Drosophila melanogaster: one gene and its partners. The protein of the gene in region 1 interacts with the protein of each later gene in a pairwise test. Each region holds a gene or a part of one and is shown on either strand. Other genes may lie near its edges.

What was found.
Region 2: the proteins of CG9040 (region 1) and Bre1 interact in a two-hybrid assay, tested with the Drosophila melanogaster proteins (one large-scale study listed by BioGRID).
Region 3: the proteins of CG9040 (region 1) and CG14454 interact in a two-hybrid assay, tested with the Drosophila melanogaster proteins (one large-scale study listed by BioGRID).
Region 4: the proteins of CG9040 (region 1) and CG9782 interact in a two-hybrid assay, tested with the Drosophila melanogaster proteins (one large-scale study listed by BioGRID).

Annotation. Positions count from the first base shown.
Region 1 is NT_037436.4:13,986,101-13,989,175, forward strand, and holds CG9040 (uncharacterized protein), read left to right. Parts: upstream 1-1,777; 5' UTR 1,778-1,841; coding exon 1,842-2,327; 3' UTR 2,328-2,526; downstream 2,527-3,075. Other genes in the region: CG17362 (uncharacterized protein), read left to right, coding at 555-1,016.
Region 2 is NT_037436.4:5,789,279-5,795,769, reverse strand, and holds Bre1 (Bre1), read left to right. Parts: upstream 1-1,577; 5' UTR 1,578-1,714; intron 1,715-1,917; 5' UTR 1,918-1,924; coding exon 1,925-3,070; intron 3,071-3,184; coding exon 3,185-4,074; intron 4,075-4,126; coding exon 4,127-5,225; 3' UTR 5,226-5,939; downstream 5,940-6,491. Other genes in the region: Tektin-C (tektin C), read left to right, coding at 1-221, 627-1,206. UniProt on the Drosophila melanogaster protein: E3 ubiquitin-protein ligase that mediates monoubiquitination of 'Lys-117' of histone H2B. H2B 'Lys-117' ubiquitination gives a specific tag for epigenetic transcriptional activation and is also prerequisite for histone H3 'Lys-4' and 'Lys-79' methylation.
Region 3 is NT_037436.4:22,691,133-22,694,525, reverse strand, and holds CG14454 (uncharacterized protein), read left to right. Parts: upstream 1-1,997; 5' UTR 1,998-2,013; coding exon 2,014-2,376; 3' UTR 2,377-2,852; downstream 2,853-3,393. Other genes in the region: CG14453 (uncharacterized protein), read right to left, coding at 23-424; CG12546 (uncharacterized protein), read left to right, coding at 737-1,090.
Region 4 is NC_004354.4:16,615,586-16,623,383, forward strand, and holds the start of CG9782 (uncharacterized protein), read right to left. Parts: upstream 6,005-7,798; 5' UTR 5,762-6,004; coding exon 5,745-5,761; intron 760-5,744; coding exon 245-759; intron 74-244; coding exon 1-73.

The DNA of each region.
Region 1 (3,075 bases):
ATTTATGGCACGAACTTTGCGAATCTGGGTTGGTCCTCTTTCGGTCTGCCGCGGCTCGTTATCCCGAGCTGAAATTGCACGGAAAAAGGTCAAACATATAAATTTGTGCTTTCACTAAAATAACCATAAATAATATGAGTAGTGCGTGCCATCACATTAAATAATCACGTAGATTACGCGTTTGAAAACGTTTTCTGAAAGTGAACGCAATTTTAACTGCGTGTAGATAAAGTGGATCTATAAACGTTCGTTTTATATTGTAGACGACAAACAATATATTATTTTATTCCACAACATAAAACGTTATATATCTACTTGATTTATAAAAGTATTTACAGGTAACCACCAGGGGCTAATATTATTATCTAAAATTTCTAAAACAAATTGATAATCAAAAAAACATCTACACAGCTGGCCCAAAGTAAACGAATGTGTGTTTGTTTAATCATATTTACTTTTGATTCATGAAAAACGAGATTCGACTGATATGTTGGTATATAAACCAGAGGATTGAGCTTTCTTCGTTTAGATCACAAAATCTCCCCAAAACGAAAATGAAACTTCTTCTGGTTCTGGCATTGGCAGTCTTCGTAGCCCACGTGGCTGTGGCCCAGACAACTGATTCGTCTGACGATGGAGATTACTCTTACGATTACGCTGATGACAACGATACTGCCGGTAGCTCCGAAGACAACACTGCTGATTCTGGAGACACTAGTGATAGCTCCACTGACGTCGACAGTGGAAACGACTCTGGGGACGTCGATTCCTATGACGACTACGAGGGCTCTAGCGATGTTACGGAAGCACCAACTGCTGCTCCAGTTGTCAAAAAGAACAAAAGAGCTGGTGCCAGGAAAAACAACAGGAACAACAAGAATAAGGCAGCAGCTAAACGTCGCAATGCCGCCGCTGCCAAGAAAAGTAATAACAAGAAGGCGGCTAAGAAGCGAACACCTGTTGCCGCCAAGAAGCGGGCAAATGCTGGACCCAACAAACGTAGGCGCTCTGGATAAATCCAGTTTATTATATTCGTAGCTACAAATTATAAAAATAAAAAATTATACCAAAAAAATTTGTTCCCAAAATTACCAAGATTTTTTTCTATGACGTTTATAAGTTAGGTTTTGAATTAATATATAATAATGATAATGATATTTACCAAGAATGTGGTTGTTGGGTATGGGTGTTTATTATTATGAATTTTGTACAAAACTTGAATATCACAGAAATTTTGAAATATATTTAACTATTTCACCCAATGTTCAAAAGACAAGAAAACATTCTACATAAGTTTTTATCGGCACGTGTTTTTTCCCTCATTTGTAAATAAATATATTTTTGATAAACAAAAACATACACCGCATATACTTGAAAAATTATATAATTTTAAAGACGTTTAATGTCATATCTATTTTTTCTATAAAACTACTAGCAGGTCGCCTAACGCGTAAACCATAGACAAATTGTTCAAAAATCCAGATAAGACATTTGTGACCTTGGCTCTTTTAATATAAAAGAGTTTATATTACTTTTTCGTGCTCTAACACAAAATATAATTTCATAATTTCAACATATAGCAATCGAAAAATGTTAAACAAATACAAGCAGCACACACAGGTGCTCTAAGCCACCGAAAATTAAGACGATGAATTAAAAAACCAATATTTGCATTCTACAGATGTACATAGAAAAATAATGTAAAAAAGCTTTATATATTTATAAATTTCTTCAGAGGAGAAAAAACTATAAATACCCAGTGTTGAAGACTTTTAAACTCAGACGTTTATACCTAAGGTTACCTATCTGTTCGTTGACTCTATAGATACAAAAAAAAAAAGATGAGGCTGCTGTTGGTTTTAAGCCTGGCCATATTGGTTGCCTTCGTAACGGGTGCTGATGACACTGACGATGACTATTACGATTATTACGACTATGGTGATGACTACTATGACGACTCTGATGTAGAGTCCAGTTCGGAAAGTGGTGTTGGTGCATCCAGTAGCTCAGAAGATGATGCTAGTACCTCCGAGGACAGTTCCTCCGGCGAAGCTTCCGATACAGGTAGTTCTTCAGAAACTTCTGGAGATGGTTCCTCCGCCGAAACGACCTCCAGTTCAACTCCAACCAAGGCAGAAAAAGCCAAGAAAACTGCTGCACGCAGAGCTAGACGGCGCAGGCGCACCACCACCGCTGCTCCCAAACGCAAAGTAGCGGCAGCCGCGTCTGCCAAGAAGCAAACACCTGTTGCCCAAAAGAAGAAGACACCTGTGGCAGCCAAGAAGAAGGCGAATACTGCCGCCAACAAACGCAAACGCACAGGCTAAGCAGTTCGAAAAAAGGATAAATTCCCCATAGTCACTGAAAGTTTTTACATCAAACTTTTAAGAGGACCAAGAGACATCTTGTAGAATCTACATTAGTCTGGGAATATTTCATATGTTGTTTTCTGTACAAAAAATCCATATAAAAATACAAAGATAAGGAGACGTTTTGTAATTTACCAAAAATATACATTATTAATCCAAAATATACAACAATTTTGTATTTGAGGGCTTAAATGATCTTTCTTCGGAGAGAAACTAATCATTACAAATCGTTTCTGAATACTTAAAATCGAAAGCCAACTAAAAATCAAGTATTCCTTAAAAGGAAAAAAATTTTTTGAACGAAACATTCATTTAATAAACTGTTGTGGTTTATATACAAGTCTCTGCAGCCAGATTAGTATAAATCGTTCTAGTGGCGTAGTATTACCAAAGTCAGCTGCATTTTGCTGCATATTTTTAGGCGCCCACATTTACATTTACCAGCGCTTTGGCGCATTGTGTTTCTATTTAGACGTAAGCCAATAGCATCTATAAATAGTAATTATGCCCTCATACAAGTAGACATAAATGCACAGGGACACTTAATTACTGATGCGCACAGGCGACAATTGTTTAATGGCGAAAGGATAACGAAAAGGGAGGAGCCTGAGTAGCGCCATCGGCCACCACAATGGGACCATTGTTTTCGATTTCAATGCCGACATTCTGGCAGTGGCACTGCCAACAGAAATCCCGTGTATCCAGT
Region 2 (6,491 bases), 8.2 Mb from region 1:
CTGCGCCGTGAGCTCAAGGTGATCAAGGGCTGTCAGGGATTGGCCGATGCCGCCCTCAAGGAAGCCGAGGAGCAGATCCGCAAGCTGCGCGCCGCCATCTATTTGCTCGATCAGGATCTGGCCGCCAAGGATAAGTCACTGGCCATCGACGAGAAGAACCTGAAGCTCAAGGAGTTCCAGCACGACCTGGCTAAGGGACAGGATTTGTCCAAACAGCATTGGTAGGTTTTTGAAAACTAGGTTGCATGTCAATCACACATGTTGGGGTTTCCTTTTTAAGGAATGATGAAGTGGATTGATTATTAATCTTTTTTCTTTCACTTTTATGCGTAAGTCATTTCGGTGTTCATCAGTACAAGGAGTTTAAAAGGATAAACATTTTACTAGAGTCTTATCCACAAATTCCATTACAAAGTCAAGTAGTTGTTCCCCTTTTCAGTTAGGAATGGAATTGAGGAAGGTCAAACCTAACAATGAAACCGCAGTTTCCTTGGTGATATGGGATAGAGTTGTCCTGAGTCTATTTTAGTGCATTGGAATTAAGTGATTTATTTACAACCACTCAAATCGACCTGATAGTTGCCATGACTCCACCATGCCTTTACCCCCTTCTCTTCCTTACCCAGCCAATTTTCGCTGACCGAGTGGCAGGCGCAGACGTACGAGAATCTGGAGGCCAACGCCAAGGCGCTGGTGTCCGCCGGGCAGCTGCGGGCCTACATCGATTTGCTGCTGAAGCAGGTGTGCGAGGATATGCAGAACCAGACGGACAGGACCAACGAGGCCTTTGAGCGAAGGATCTCGGAGACGAAGCACGTGAAACAGTGTTTGGAGAACAAGCACAAGGACACCATGGATCACATCCATCAGGTGCAGCGCAACATGACCGAGCTGGAGAAGGAGATGATGGACAAGCAGCGGGCCATTACACTGTGCCAGACGCGGCTCAGCAATCGCGCCCATCGTCCTGGCCTGGAGCTGACCTGCGACATGGTCCAGGATGCGCTTTACAACGAACTGCAGGCGCTGAAGGCATCCGTATGCAAGCTCAATCAGAAGCTGAACGAGAACAAGGCATCCATGCGCTACCTGATGCACGTCCAGGTGATGCAGGAGGAGGAGATCAACATCAAGGCGAACACCTGCAAGATCGACGAGGTCGACTGCATGACCCTGCGACAGGCCCTGAAGTACCAAACATTTTAGTCGGGCAGCACTACATCCAGTACAGCACCAGTCCAGTAGTCGCCACACAGCCCAGCCACCAATAATCAAATTAAAATCTAATTATTAGATGCATGTGCATTTCGTGTTCGATCCCAAATTACTTAATAAATTGAAATTCACTTTCGATTTCCAGTTACCAAAACTATGGCTTTTTAATGCATTTTTAAATTGTTCATTTTATTCGAAATAGTTAATCATATATTTCTTTTGCTTAATTTTCGTGAATTTAAATTTCCCGCTTTGAATCTAGTATTTTTAGTTTTACCTGCCTCTATTCGATATTTACCGCTAAGCACAGACATATAGTTATCGATAACGTGAACGCAAATGCGAGGGAGTATTGCAAATAGTGTTACCGTGCTGCTGTGAAAATTCCCAGGTGTGACCGCAGCCCGCATTCGATATTGATGAAGCCAGGCAAAACGTAGAAAAGCAAAAGAAAACCTTAATTAATGTTAAGTTAAAAGTGTATAAACCCGAGATTAAGGTAAGTGGCCCACCACCATCTAGATTTTGAGTACACCGAAGGCATGGCGATGTTGGCAGTGGCGGGAGCGTTACGCCTCTACCGCCACCGCCTCCGCCGCACACGATAAAAAATGGAGTACAGCCACGAATGGGCAAATCAATAATTTTCAACACTCCAATTGTTTTTACAACTGAAATCAGTCCTAATCTTGTTTTCCGCAGTGCAAGGATGTCGAAACGGAGCGCCGACGACGCCACCGGCAGCAGCTGCTTGGTGGCCGCCGCAGCCGCCGGCCAGCCGCCCATCAAGAAGGTGCACTTCGAGCCCCATCTGATTGGGCCGGTGTCCACGCTGGAGGAGATGGACATCAAGGTGCTGGAATTCCAGAACAAGAAGCTAGCACAGCGCATCGAACAGCGGATGCGAACGGAGGCGGAGCTGCGACATCGAATCGAGCAGCTGGAAAAGCGGCAAACGCAGGACGACGCCGTTCTAAACGTGGTCAATCGGTATTGGAATCAGCTGAACGAGGACATACGAGTCCTGCTGCAGCGCTTCGATGCCGAGACGGCCGACGAACTGGAGAACCGGAATGAGAACGAGGTGACCACCTCGTTTCTCGCCCAACTGTCCACCTGGGACAAGGAGGAGCTGGACGAGAAGCTGGCCAACCGCGTCCAAGTGTCCAAAAGGGCGGTCGCCAAGATCGTACAGGTTATTGATAGGTTAATGCAACGCAATGAAAAGATAACTCATGTCTTGAAAGGTGATAGTCTGGCTTCAGCTGGCTCCGGTTCAGGAGCGGGAGCTGGCGGCGAGGAGGAGCAGCAGCAGGCCAGCGGCGATGCGGAGACCACAACGTCATCGGCCGGTGTCCATGCGCTAGAGGAAACCCTGAAGCAAACGCACATCGAGATCATGAGCGAAAATCACAAGCTGCAGAATCTGAATACCTCGCTGCACGAGAAGTTCCACACCATGTCGCTGAAGATGAAGGAGTACCAGGACGCTCATACCGCCAAGGAGACGGAGAACGCCGAACTGAAGAACCAGATAGACGAACTGCAATATGACCTAGAGAAGATCCATTGCCGGAATGATAAGCTGGAGAACCACTTGGCCGAGGCTATTGAAAAGCTGAAGGCCTACCACCAGATTTACGGTGATCCCAATAAGAGCACTAATAGTGCCAAGACACCAACTACCACAGGCAGCGGCGGCGCCACCACCAGCGTTAATAGCCAGCTATTGGAGGAGCTGCAAAAGGAGCTGGAGGAGTACCGCGAACTGGCCAACAACCGACTGCAGGAGCTGGATAAGCTTCACGCCACGCATCGCGAAACCCTGAAGGAGGTGGAGAAGCTTAAAATGGATGTAAGTTTTGAATGAATAATGTATTAGCTTATCTGGAGCATTGCTAATTATAGTTAGTCATTTCGTTTATATTTTCTTTGTATTATACTGATTCATCCTTAAAATCCATTCCAGATACGACAGTTGCCGGAATCGGTAATTGTGGAAACCACGGAGTACAAGTGCCTGCAGAGCCAGTTTTCCGTGCTCTACAACGAGTCCATGCAGATAAAGACCATGCTGGACGAGACCCGAAACCAGCTTCAAACGAGCAAGAACCAGCATCTGCGACAAATCGAAGTGATGGAGAGCGAGGAACTTATTGCCCAGAAGAAGGTGCGCAGCGAGATGATCCAGATGGAGGACGTTTTAGCCCTCATCCGAAAGGAGTACGAAACGCTACGCATTGAGTTCGAGCAGAACATGGCAGCCAACGAGCAGACGGCACCCATCAATCGCGAGATGCGCCACCTGATCACCTCTCTACAAAACCACAATGGCCAACTGAAGGGTGAGGTGCAGCGCTACAAGCGAAAGTACAAGGACACGTCCACGGACAACTTGAAGCTGCGTCAGGAGCTGGCCGATGCACTAGCTACACTCGAAGGCAACAAGTTGCAGGCGGCGACTGGTGCGGCTGGCGAAGAAATCAAGCAGGAGAACTCAACAGGTGTGAAGGAGGAGAACTCCAACAACGTTTCCGCCAGTGGACAAACAAACCAAACAAATTCCGGCAACGATACCAACGTAGCCATCAAGGAGGAGAACCATATCTCGGCTGAAGATGAAGCTGATGACGAGGCCAGTGGTAAGGACGTAAAAGACGGCATCAAGCAGGAGAAGCTCAGTTCTGGAGACGCGGCGGCAGCTGAGAAGAAGGATTCCCCTGGACCCGGAAACTCAACAAGTTCTGCGACCAATTCTGTTCCCGTCAAAAACGAAAAGGATTCCAAGGATGGTGTCAAGGGCAAGGATGTGAAGGCAGTGGAAAGTGAAACGGTGCGCGATCTGAAGGCGCAACTAAAGTAAGTTTGTTCAGCAATTACGATTATCTATTTAACATTGTTTGATTTACAGAAAAGCACTGAACGACCAGAAAGAAATGAAACTCCTGCTGGATATGTACAAAGGCGTATCGAAGGATCAGCGCGACAAGGTCCAGTTGATGGCCACCGAAAAGAAACTGCGCTCCGAGATCGAGGAGCTCCGCCAGCAGCTGAAGAAGCTGCAGGAAAGCAAGCGCGAGGAACGCAAGAAGCTGGCCGACGAGGAGGCGTTACGTAAGATTAAGCAATTGGAGGAGCAGAAGTACGAGCTGCAAAAACAGATGGCCAACCACAAGCCAACGGATAATTCTTGGGGCAGTGGAGCCCCCGGCACAGCGAACTACACGCGACCGTTTGTTGGTTCCCACGAAGAGGAGGCACTGCTGAACGAGATGGAGGTTACCGGCCAGGCGTTCGAGGACATGCAGGAGCAGAACTCCCGGCTCATACAACAGCTGCGTGAGAAGGACGATGCGAACTTTAAGCTAATGTCGGAGCGCATCAAGGCCAACCAGCTGCACAAACTTCTGAGAGAGGAAAAGACGGTGCTGGAGGATCAGATGGCAACGGCGACCACGCAAATCGAAGCCATGCACATTGTGCTGCGAAAGCTGGAGGAGAAGGAACGCAGCCTGCAGGCCACCGTCGCGTCGATTGAGAAAGAGTTGATGCTGCGGCAGCAAGCAATGGAGATGCACAAACGCAAGGCGATTGAATCGGCGCAATCGGCAGCGGACCTCAAGCTGCATCTGGAAAAGTATCACGCGCAAATGAAGGAGGCGCAGCAAGTGGTGGCGGAGAAGACCAGTTCGCTGGAGGCGGAGGCCTACAAGACCAAGCGGCTGCAGGAGGAGCTGGCGCAGTTTAAACGCAAGGCGGAGCGCATGAAGAAGATGGAAATGTCGGGCACCACCATCGACGAGGTGATGATTGAGGAGATCCGCGAATACAAAGAAACGCTCACGTGTCCCTCGTGCAAGGTGAAGCGGAAGGATGCTGTCCTGTCAAAGTGTTTCCACGTCTTCTGCTACGACTGCCTGCGCACTAGATATGAAACGCGGCAGCGGAAGTGTCCCAAATGCAACTGCGCCTTCGGCGCCAACGATTATCATAGGCTATATCTGCAGTAGATAAGCGATAATTTAGATACGTTCCGGTCATGTCCTATTCATACACAAATCCACCCACGCCACACACCACTACCGCACACCCAGCATTCATGCCGGATTATTATTCATTATGCATATATTACCTACGTACTAATATTTGGTTAAGTAGTCTCCGAATAACTTTCCCCCACCAGATTTCCCATGGCAATTATTTGAATTCGTTCATTCTGGCGCCAAGCAAAAGCATCTCATTATGAGTGCCGCGAGATCGTGACGCGGTTTTTATGTAGCTTCTAGTTTTTGTAAATCAAACTATTTTTAAATGATTTCATTTGAAAACTAAATGTACGAACACTAATAAATGGCTAAAACCTATTGTTTAGCATGCCCCGAGTTATTTAGATACCCCATATATACATAAGTGTAGGTTCTTTGTCTTGCATTCAGTTAGCATTATATTAAGCGTATTCTAATCTTAAGTTAAATACTCCTATTGTAATGATCAAACGTAGCATAGATATCAAATGTATAAACTTGGCGGAGAATCCGTTTAAAAGTCGCGCTTTGCTTTGAAGGGCTGCTAACTTGGTTATAATTGATAAGTAATTGTAATAATGTATGATCGAAAATTGTTGTTCAGCTGAACAAAACGAGTTTTGATTGCTTTTTTGTTTGTGTGTAAATGTGTTCGTTCTTTATGTGTACTGTTTAACGAATAAAGAAACTAATGATCAGAAATCGTGACTTTCAATCAATGTTATCTCTCTACATGAAATCCACCTGTTAGAGCTGTTAGCACCCACGCACTCATGTTAATAACATCGATGCTTATCTGAAACCTGTAACCATTGGCGCGCAACAGGTTATCGGGGTTTAAAACGCTATGCTGGTATTTTGTTCTCTACAGAAAGTAGGAAAGTGGCCATAACTATAATTTTATGTATAAACAGTTTGATCATATTCTAAATTTCTATTTTATGGCACAAGAACATAAAACGAATGGTTAATTTAACTCAACTGGTATAAATTGGTAATTATCATTGCATATTTTCTATTTATAAATATTTAATTGCGTCCAACTGGACCAAAGTCTTTTGAGCAATTGTCTTAATTTTAATTTGCATCACACTTTTGCAGGCAAATCTAGTTTAAGTTAGCCGTGTTAGGTTCCAATTGGCCAGAACAGCCCAGTTGGCCAGGCCATTCCCCAGTAATTATGCTACCTAGTATTTATTACAATGGCTCAAGAGCAACGACATTGTCTTGTGCAATTATAATTAACAGCTG
Region 3 (3,393 bases), 8.7 Mb from region 1:
CCTCTTCGACTGTAGCAATCGTCTATCCACTGCGCTGCCTTTGCTGGCGTCTTCTGCGCTGCTGTTGGCGGCGGCGCCTTTGGCGCTGTTGGCGCCTTTGGCGCTGTTGGCGCCTGCGCCGTTGGCGGGCCAAGCGACGACGACGGGCGGCGGCCCTGCGACGACGGGCGGCCGCGCTGGAGGACGACGACGAGGACGAGGACGAAGAAGTGGTGGTAGTCGTGGCAGACGAGGCCACTGTGGTGGTGTCGGAAGACGTTGAGGCTTCAGTTGTGTCGGAGGAAGAGGACGCGGTAGTGGAGGTGTCCGAGGCGCTGGTACTATCCGAGGAGCTTTCAGTGCTCGTTCCCGTAGCTTCGCAGCCCTGCTGGGCAAACAGGAGGCAGCCGAGAAGGGCCAAGAGCAGAACAAATATGAATCGCATTCTAAGCAGTTATATCTTATGATTTGGAGAATAGCCTATTTATATGATGTTGAACCCGGAAACTTGGTTGAGAAACGCGCTCATTACCGTAAATCTATTACATTATTATGTGTGTTAAGACTCAAGAGCAACGTTTAAACTATATGGCGGCACACATAATTTCTCAATCTGAATAAACATTACCAAAATTTACCTTAGTTAAAGCTAACAATCCAGCAGACCTATTAGCTTACACGCTTTTGGTAAACCACCATTATTCAAATTTGCTATAAAAACATGCGTAACGTCTCAAATGCGTCAAAGACATTCAGCATGCGCTTCTCGATCGTAATTGTTCTTTCCGTCCTAGGATGCCTCCTGCTTAGCCAGGAGGGCAGTAGCAGCACATCTACATCCTCGACGACGACCACAACCACCGACTCCTCTGCCACCACTACCACGGCTTCGTCCGCCACCACTACCACCACTGCCTCTTCCGCATCCACCACGACCACTGCCTCCTCCTCATCCTCTTCCTCTGCGGAGGCCAGGAGGCGCAGGCGCGCCCGTCGCCGTCGTCTGGCGCGTGAGAGGCAACGAAGGGAGCGCAGAAGGCAGCGCAGGACTCAGAGGCTGCGCCAGCAACTGGAGAATCAACGTCGACAGATCAACCAGCTGAGCGGATGAAGGTCTTCGGAAAGACTCGGCTTATGACAATTTAGGAAAAGCTGTTGTAAATATGTGAAAGCTAAATTCTTTCATTGTTCAAGTTCGCCAAGATAATAAAACATTTGATTGTACATTCTGATAATTCTACTTTATTGGAGCACAAAAACGTGTGGGAGTGGCATATTTAAGCGGCTTGAGGGAGTTCAACGTTCTCAACTCTCTAGCTTTTAGAGTTGCTGAGGTCGAGACATTCGTTCGGACAGACGGAGTAATAGTGATCAAGCATATACATATGTATAATTAATAGGGTCGGAAACGCCTGTTACATACTTTTCAACAAATCTAGTTTAGTCTCATTCCAGGAGTAGCCTGTTTCAAATCGAGACGAATTTTGAAATCGGTAACTGGTATAAAATTAATATAATTATACACATCTTTGTTGTGTTTGGTTTAAAAATAATGTAAACCACGTATTTGTTTTTTTGGAAAATAAATCTCTAATTTCGGAGAACTTAAATGGATATAAGCCAAAATGCAACAGCACAAAACTGTTAATTGGGTACGCAAAGCTCAAATGAAGAACAAATAAAACACCTTTAACTCGTCAAGTGCTGCGATTTTTACTCAGATAAGATGTGAATGTACATAAATAGGTTATACCAAATATTTCCTTCAGACGTGACGTGGTCGCCATACATAATTAGGCGTAAGAAGCGTTATAATATTACCTTTTTATCTCGTTTTCAACGAGTTAAACCCGGCTCACTATCAATAATATATCGATCGACTCTTTTACTCTGTTGACCTTACAAGCCCAAGACATTGACGAGCTGGATAGGCTGTGCACACATTTCCGATTTCCGATACATGATATTTGTTTAATTGTTACCCCGTATTGAGTATAAAAGGCCGTCTGATTAGATTAGATTAGACACAACAAAATGCGCTTCCTATTCGCTCTACTTCTCAGCGTGCTCCTGTGTCTGCTCCTGGCTCAGGAGGGCAGTAGCAGCACATCTACATCCTCGACGGCGACCACATCCACCGACTCCTCTGCCACCACTACCACGGCTTCATCCGCCACCACCACTACCACCACTGCCTCCTCCGCATCCACCACGACCACTGCCTCCTCTTCCTCCTCCTCGGCGGAGGCCAGGAGGCGCAGACGTGCTCGCCGTCGTCGCCTGGCTCGTGAGCGCCGTCGTCGCCAGGAGCGGAGACAGCGCCAGGAAAAGAGGAGGCGCAGGATGGAGCAGCTGCTGGTGAGGCAGCGTCGCCTGATCAATCAGCTTCAGGGATAAGTGGGGGCTTGGTCCCTTAAGATAGAATCTTCGGCCGTTCAATAGAAATATAAGCGCTGCACCAACTAATCAGATTATTAGATTGATCTCTTTCTTTGGAGGTATTTTTGAGAAGGCATGCCTGCAGCGTTGAGCAAGGTTTCGTTGTGGGCATTAGAGCATTTAAGACGTTTCCACAGGCATTCCCACGCACATCTACATATTCTATCCGACAAGCGGCGAATCCGCGCAATTCCAAGGCGGCAGACAATTGGCCCTATCCCTGGAGTTTATTATACCAGAGCTTGAGCGCTCGAAAATGCTTTTCTTGCAGCCAAGCTCAGCAGTCAGCCCGCCTGGAATCAAATCAAATAAAATATTCATTTTGGTCTTTGAACTGTGCATAAATGTGCTGCTGTTCACGAAGTGATGGAGCCACCCAAGCCCTGGATACTTAAATCTATTGGATGTGAATAAAAATTACGCTGAATGTGTGCATATATAAAGAGTGCGGTTTGGTGACGGCACGTCATCATATTCTTAGACGTTTCAAAAAGCCAAGGATAACATAGAGACTGACAGGGGGAATCGATGTTTTTTGGTCTTTTTTTTTTTTGCATAACTGCTTGAAAGCAGTTCAAGATTGGGGTTATATTCTGTTAACAATATTCGAATCCACATTTGCTTCTTTGTGCCCATTAATTGCTCAGATCAGACGCATAGAGAATGCCGCCATCTCTGAAGGCTGAAGAAATTTTTTATCGGATTTTCTCGCTACAAAATTGCATTTCAGGGAACTTCGTCCGCAGACTGGGCAGCAATTGAGGGAAACGAAAATAAGCAAAATGCCGCCAGCCAAAAGGTAAAGTACGTTAGGCTGGGCCAACCCTTATTGTTGTCATTTTCCAGATTGCCATTCTGCCATCAATGCCGATTCTAAGCACAAAACGGAGAAAAATGTGTTCTTTCCATCAGATTATTTCCTTCAGATCCGAACCCCTTTTTTAAATTGCTGTGGCATGCGAAATCTTAAAGGAG
Region 4 (7,798 bases), on another chromosome or scaffold:
TCCTCAGCGGCGGCATCCTCCACCGCCTCCACGGGCGTCGCCTTGGCGGGCTTCGACAGCTTGCGACGGCTCACTGGGGATAGTTAAAGCGTTAGTTAGTAATGGATTTAATAACTTGATATAGAGAGATGATTTTAAAGATTTCTATTCTAGTTTAATGTCAATTATTTCAAAATTAGTAAATTCAGAAGGCACTGCTAGTCCATTTAGAGCAAAATCCTGGCCTAATCCCTGACTAACTTACATGCTGAGTTGCCCTTGTAGCCCTTGGCGGGACTGGATGCTGGGGCGGGTGCTGGCGCGGATGCCTGCTCCTCCTGCTCGCCGGAGTTGGACTCGTCGCTCTTCTTGGCCGGCTTGCTGGGACTGGGCGGCTTCTCGGCACGGTGCTTCTTCGCGTTCGCCTGACGGCGCTTCAGCGAGTTGAGGAAGTCATCGTTGGAGCGGAACGGCCGGATAACCGGGCCGACCTTTTTGGGCGCCTCCGTGGTGGTGGTGGTGGTAGAGCTGGCAAAGGACGCCTCGTCGCCCTCCTCGCCATGATCGCCGTGCTCGCCGGTTTCCTCGTCATACTCCTCGCCCTCGCCGCCGGCATCCGCTTGTGCTGGCGCCGCTGTCGTCGTGGTTGTCACCTTGGCCGCCTTCCCGACCGGACGGCGCAGGGCGGCGATTCTCTTCGCCGGCGAAACGGCGGGACCACCCTCCTCCTGAGCGGAGACCACTCCGTAGCACAGGACGCAGACGATGAAGAGCAGGCAGCTAAGTGGATTAAAAAAAATATAATAAATTATTAATAATTATATAATTATACTGCAATGAAACAAAATTATTTAATAATTCATGCCAATCGTATATAGCTCCTATTTTAAATACTTATGCTTTTACTCATTTAAATACTTTGAAAACTGCCAAAAATAGCTCATTAAAAACCATTGCCAAAAGTGGAACACCATTTAATTACTGAAATAATTTTCAAATGGTTAAAAAGACAAAAAACACACTTCCTTATACTTAAATTAAATTATACTTTAAATAAGTATTCTGAAGGTTTCTTGAAAAATTCGATCTTGCTATCATTAGTCAGTAACATTAGAATTTAAATGCAAGTGCCTATTTGTTGCCATGATTAGATGCTTAAATATTCAAATTTTACATAAATCAATACTGAATTGTTGCCATTAAAATCCCATTGGTTGTTTATACGAACAATGTTTCGTTAATTACGAGTATTATTTACTGGAATAACTTGAATTTCGAAGTCGCTGGTGCAATGTACCGCTCGACTTTCGAATCGATACGAAACGGATCTATTCGAATCGATTCAGTGATGGAATGGCATCTGGTGAATCCCCCGGGCAAGGTTGGCCAACATCTACACGCATCTAATCCTCGTGACTTCCAGCTCGAACCCAACTCTTGGGCGATCGGACGGACGGGACAGGTCTGGTTGGACGGGTTATTCAATACAGAACCTGAAGTCGTAAATATTGTGTACATAAAATACATATGTGCCCGCCCCTACATATACAGTGGAAACTCTTTGAATGATACGACAAGAAATATGGTAATTAACTGAATAAGAAGCATGAAATTATAATAAATTTAGCAAAGTGAAGATCTAAAACAGCGATATTCAATCAACAATAGGCTTATATGCTTGCAAAATCAGCAGAATTTGTTCTCACTTTTAACTCTATTTAGATTTATCACCTGTAAAGGTCGTAAAGAGCTGGATTTGTTTAGGCTAATAATTAATATTTATTAGTAGTTGCCATTCGGGTTTCCTGTAAGATTTGCTATTTTATTTTTGTTTTTTTTTGTTTTTTTTTTGTATACTTTATGTCGCATGCTGACGGAGGACAGAGATGTGCTAACAAATATTAATGTGTAAAGGTCAGACAAACGGGTTTGTTCACTTTCGATTTCGATTTGGATATGGATTTCGCTTTAATGCCGAATTCGAATGCGAATGAATGTTGCTCCGTATCTGTTGTTGTTGTTGTTTCTACTGTATATATATATTTTTTTTTCCTTATTTCTTGCTTTAGTTAACCACTTTTTATTTCTCTTTGCCGCTGGCGACGATGGCGGCGGCTTCAGTGAGTCAAGTCAATTGCTCATATTTTATGCAAAACAAAAGACTTAGGCAGCGAACTCGTTTTGAAATTCTTTCCTATGGCAACGCTTAAGTCGAGTGCTTTGTTGTTATTGCCGCGATGAGGGGGTGGCCAGAGGAGTGGAAGGTTGGGGGAATGGGGTTGGTACGGCTGTGCAGGGCGTTGCGGTGGGTGAGTGGCCAAAGGAAACAGGTGCTTATGCAAAAGGCAGTCAACAGCGCCACGAGTGGGGCGGGGGAAACCAGTTGGTGGCAGCCAGCACCACGCCAGAATATATTTAAGTGCGCGCTCACAGTTGCAGTTGGCTAATAACGGTAAAATGTGCAAGCCAAGTTTTATTTTTAGCCAACACACATAGCACCGTTGTTCATTTTAATTATTTCTACTCGATTATCGTATCGCTCGTTTCATTTGCATTCGAGCATGCTGCATTTCCCCCATTGGGATTTATTTGCTTATGGGGTCAACTGGATTGGCTTTACATGTGGGAATACATGTGGCTGTGGATATCGATATGAACGTGGATGTAGCTATGGAGATGGCCCAGTTAAGCGACAATTATGCAACTGGCAAAAGGTGAAAGGCGTGGGCCCAAGTTGTGGGTGCGTGCCCGGCATCTTCAACATCCCAGCGACTCCAGCGACTTCAGTTCAGTGCCCAGAGGCGTGCCCAGAAATATTTCTCAAGGGGGCTTGGGCCAACGATTTTCTCTTCGGGTCGTTTAGATCTTTCATTTTGAATGGATCGATCACGTTTTGAATAAAGCTTTTCTTCACTGGTTTAGTTTAGTTCGGTTTAGTTTGTTGCTTATAAACTCACTCATTGTTATTAGTTAATTTCCAATATTTATTATACCATTGTTTTATACGCAAGGCAATATTTGGTATTTATGTATCTGTGGTGTGGGGGATCATATGTCAGTTCTGCAAGTGCTGGGTTTTCCATGACATTTGGCTAGGCACTGGGCATAGAGCATCTCGCAACCGGTTCTCCAGCGGATTGGCCAACGGGAACAATGGCAGGGCGCAGACGACGCCAGTGCGCAGTCCACACCCACAAACAATCCGTTGGGTGGACAGGTAGATAGATGGGTAGGCAAATGGATGCGGCTGGTACGGCGGTACACCGGCAGACGGGCACATTTCTGGTCGCCGTGGGCTGTTTTTAGTGCCAGCCGGTGGTTATATAAGCCGACATTAGTTGCGAATTTATGATAAGCAACTCGCGTTGGCGAGAATTTCGTGGATCAGGCGGAACCACTTATTTAATGCAGCCTCATCGTTCGGCCTCATTATCATCCTCATTTAAAGAGCTTGGTCAACAAATTGGTTTGGCTCTTAATTTATTTCATTTCATTTCGCTTTTGTTTGGTCTCCTTTTGTTTTCCTTTCGTTTCGCACTCTGTTTTGTTGGCTTATGCTGCTTATTTTATTTATTTTTTGTTTTTTTGCCTTTTTATTTCGACTTAATGGGCTGACGTCATTGGGCCTACTGCGGATATGAAAGAACTTCCACACTCAAAAGCAATTTATGCAGCATTAAAACGATTGGTTGTCTTCAAGTTTTAAGAAGCGGAAGTTGCTTTGCTTGAATTATGTATGCATTTCGAGTTTTTGTCAAATAAAAGCTGAAGAAAAACTATAAACTGAAGTCTAGAGGAAACCCATTTAAATAATGTCTTAAAATCTGAAACTATTCGGCCAATATTTCTAAATGTAGAGAAACCTTTTCAAAAAGAAAAAATGCCTCTTGAAAGTGTTGATCTTGAGCTGGGCTCAAAGTTTCCGTAACGAAATGCGACACCTGCCCCAGTTAAGCCATGCACGTTTTCTAATTGCCCTGGAGACCTCATTACGCGTCCACTACCAGCATGCACCTTTGCCCCCCCCTACGGGCCACACCCCCCAAGCCCCCGATCAGATAGTCCCCCCCCCCATTTGGACCATATGTATGTGTAGCCACTTATTACGGGCCAAACGTGCACATTCGACACCGAATCGGATTCAAATTCGAATTCAATTTGATTGTAACTGCTTTTATTGCTGCCGCGTTGGATCAAGTTGAAGTCAGCAAGCCAGTTAAATTGGATGGAGGTTGGATGGGGGTTTGGCCTGGTGAGTTGTTCCAAAATTAAGGCGAAAAGAGCCGATTGGCCGCTTGAGGCAAGTGGGTTCAATAACGGTGCATTGTGTCGTTGTTAGTTGGCCAAGTACGTGTTTTGGTTGCTTTGGTACGTGTTTTTACACTACTACTACTACTTCTGGCTGGCTGGCTGGCTGGCTGCATGCCAAATCGATCGAGTTCGCTGCCTAAGTCTTTTGATTTGGCCCAGAGTGGTATTTTGGTGTTTACGTTTTCGGTATCGCATTGAATTCGCTTTGGCCCATGAAGTGCAGCACATATGTATATTACTCATACACACACACACACACACACACACTGCCAATTTTGCGACTCGAAAGTCCTTGAATCTTGAATGTTGAATCTTGAAGGCATCGCCGTGTATTTTCATTTCTTTTATTTATTTAAAATAAATTGCATAATACACCATGCCGGGGAAATGGAACGGAAAATCCTGATTTAGCCGTCTGCCTGCCGACTCACCTACCAACTCCAACTCCACCTCTCTCCTCGCCATTTCCATGTGATTAATTCCATGCATACAACGCTGCGATTAACACATATAATACATACATATATATATGTATATATATATACACACCCCATTCGAGTGGTATTGCATTTATGCAGATATGCGGTCTGTCTGTCAGCTCGCATTAAAAGTGCAACCGTTAATTTATAAAAGACAACCGCGGTAATTAATCCAATATACTTAATTTGCTGCAGCTGCGAAAAGTCGAGGAAAGCGGTGATCTGGTGATCGGGTGATCTGACGATCTGAGGCGTTGAGCGCATCCACTTCGAAAGGAGGAGCCACTTTAGCTGGCGACCTTGAAACATGGAGCAGACCCCATACCATCACCCCCTCTGCTGTCGCCACTGTGATCGCCTTTTACGATCTGAAGCTTTAACTTTTGCCATTTCTTTGCCGGCAAAATGCCAGCCTCACATCCCGTGACAACTTCATCACATCATCATCATCATCATCGTCGTCGTTGCAATGCTGATCATGGTGATCATCGTTATGACCAAACTTTGGCATTTTAGCCACAGCCACGGAGCTCGGTTCAGTTCCAGTTTGAAGCCACGGCATGTTAAAGTTCAAATTGGCATTAAGACGAGCTTACCTACACCTGCATGTGGTTGTGCCCCATAAAGGTTGCAAGTCAACGTGCTACATGCAACGGAGTCGATTGCCAATGCATTTCGACGGTTGGCAACTAAGTTGGGATTTCGAAAATTAAATATATGTACCAAAGAAATTCGAGAAGTTTAGCGTGCGTGGTGGGCTATGCAAATCAAGCTCAAAGTGGTTCGATTAAAATATTCTTTAAATATTTTTAATTATAAAATGTGTCTATTAATAAGTTACTATTTCTGTTCCAATGTCCTGTTCAGTTTTATAACAATCACTTGAAAAAAAAAATACGATCTCTCCTCATCGGTCACGAAACAATATTTAATATTTTGAAATAAATATATACTATATATTTTTGGATCACTCACATGTTGAAGTACTTCATTTTGTCTTGATGTGTGTGCTCGTGCGTGTTTTTCGATGCGTGGGGAGCGGCTTTGGACCAACAACAAAATGAACTCGAAACGCGCGCGTCTTAAACTTAAACTAGAAAAAAAACACTTGTGTATTTATAATTGATTTTATATATTTTTTTTTGAGGGAGGGGGGCGAGGTTATCGGCTTCTCTGCTAGCGAGCGGTACTGACGACTGGCCACGATCACGATCGACTTCTAGAGGCAGACTGAACGTTACTTATGCCGTGTGCACACAGTTAACCTACGGCCATCCAATATTTTGTGGCAGCGACGGTGACTTCGACGGCGGCAGCGGCTGCGCAACAGGTTCAGACCGCCCTAGCCAAACCGCCTGCCTGCACCTCCAACCCGTGGCCACCGCCTCCTCCTCCTCCTCCGCCAGCGACTCCCAGCCCCTCCACTTCCATCGCCGCCTGCGCTCAAAAGCTCTTTTTGCTTTTGCACGGCGCGAAAAATGTGGTAAGAAACGTCGAATTCTAGCCATACTTTCATCTATAGTCATCAATCAAGCAAGGCATGCGAATTCTTCAGAACTTTTCCTTTTTGCCATATAACATATATGCTTAACTTAACTTTGGTCTGTATTTGTATCAAATTACAAATGCAAATTCATCAGGACTTATTTAGTCAACTGTATAAACTATATTTATACATTCAATTGAATGTGTTTAATATATGTATGTATCCATGCTATATATTTTTAGGAATATATAGAAGTTTATAATACCGCAAATTACTTAGTTATGTGATTACAGATTACTGAAGTTTCCTTGCCATCCTTTCCTTTTTTGTGGATGTGAGCAAAAGAATAATTTTTAATTAATTAAAATTAATTTTAAATTAATTTATGCCGACGTACTTCACATATTCCCTGAATTTTTCCACTAACAAAGAAAATTCCTATGCCCCTTCAATGACATCATTGATTAAATTAGTTTGTATAATTTAACATTATCTACCACCCGCCAAGCTGATATTAAAAATGTAATTCCTGATTTTTTCGCCTTGTGTGCCCAAGCGCCTCGATGGTCGATCTGTGCTGGCAGGAGTACTTCTGGTTTTTCGGAGCCAATTTGTCACGGGCCTGGGCTCTGGTTATGACAGGTTTTTCGTATCCAATCCACTCCAATCCCAGCCAAGTCAAGCCAATCCAATCTGAGTCGAGCTGAGTTGAGTTGAATTGCGTTGAGTTGAGCTGAGCGGAGTGGAGCCGACTCAACATTCGCAATTTGTATATTTTATTAATTAATTTATTGATTTTAGGCCAATTGTTGTTTTGCCTCTTTGCCGATCTGGTAAATCCCGATCGAGCTGACCAACCAATCCCCGAAAGCAGCCGTCCCGCCCGTTGGCCAAAAACACACATCTGTGCCGCATGTAAATCGCTAAGTTCGCGTTTAAAAATTAACCAAATCAAGTCAGTTAATTATCAACGATATGCAAATACCCTAGAAAGTGTAATGAAACAAATTTCAATTGACTTTTGGTCACATGTCAAATGAATTTTTCCACATTAAAAGTTTTCCTTAATAAGAAAGTGAAATAAATACAAATATTAATTTACATTAAATATTTTTACAAGCATTAAACTCTTTGAAGACTAAAATCACTGGACCTCAAATGCAAGTTAACAACTGATCTTTGAAAACTTCAATGAATCTCAATTCTATGGCCACCAAATCCAACCGAAATCCATCTGCAAGTCTGCGGGCCCTGAGTCAATTTAAGGTATGGAATGGCACCAAATTAAAAATCCGTAAAAGCTGATAAAGCCAGAAATATTTATGCATATTTTGTGGGTTCGTCGCGGCCTTGAACTGATTGATCAGGAGTGCTGCAGGGGGGGGGGGGGGGTCAGGGGCGGGGTCTGTAGGGTGATGGCTGCATATGTTTAATGGGTGACAAAGCTGATGGGCGCTAATTAATCTTCCACACCCATCAGCTAACGATCGCTTTGAACTCTTGCAGATGTTCTGCGGCCAGGTGTTGATTTTTTGGCGGCACT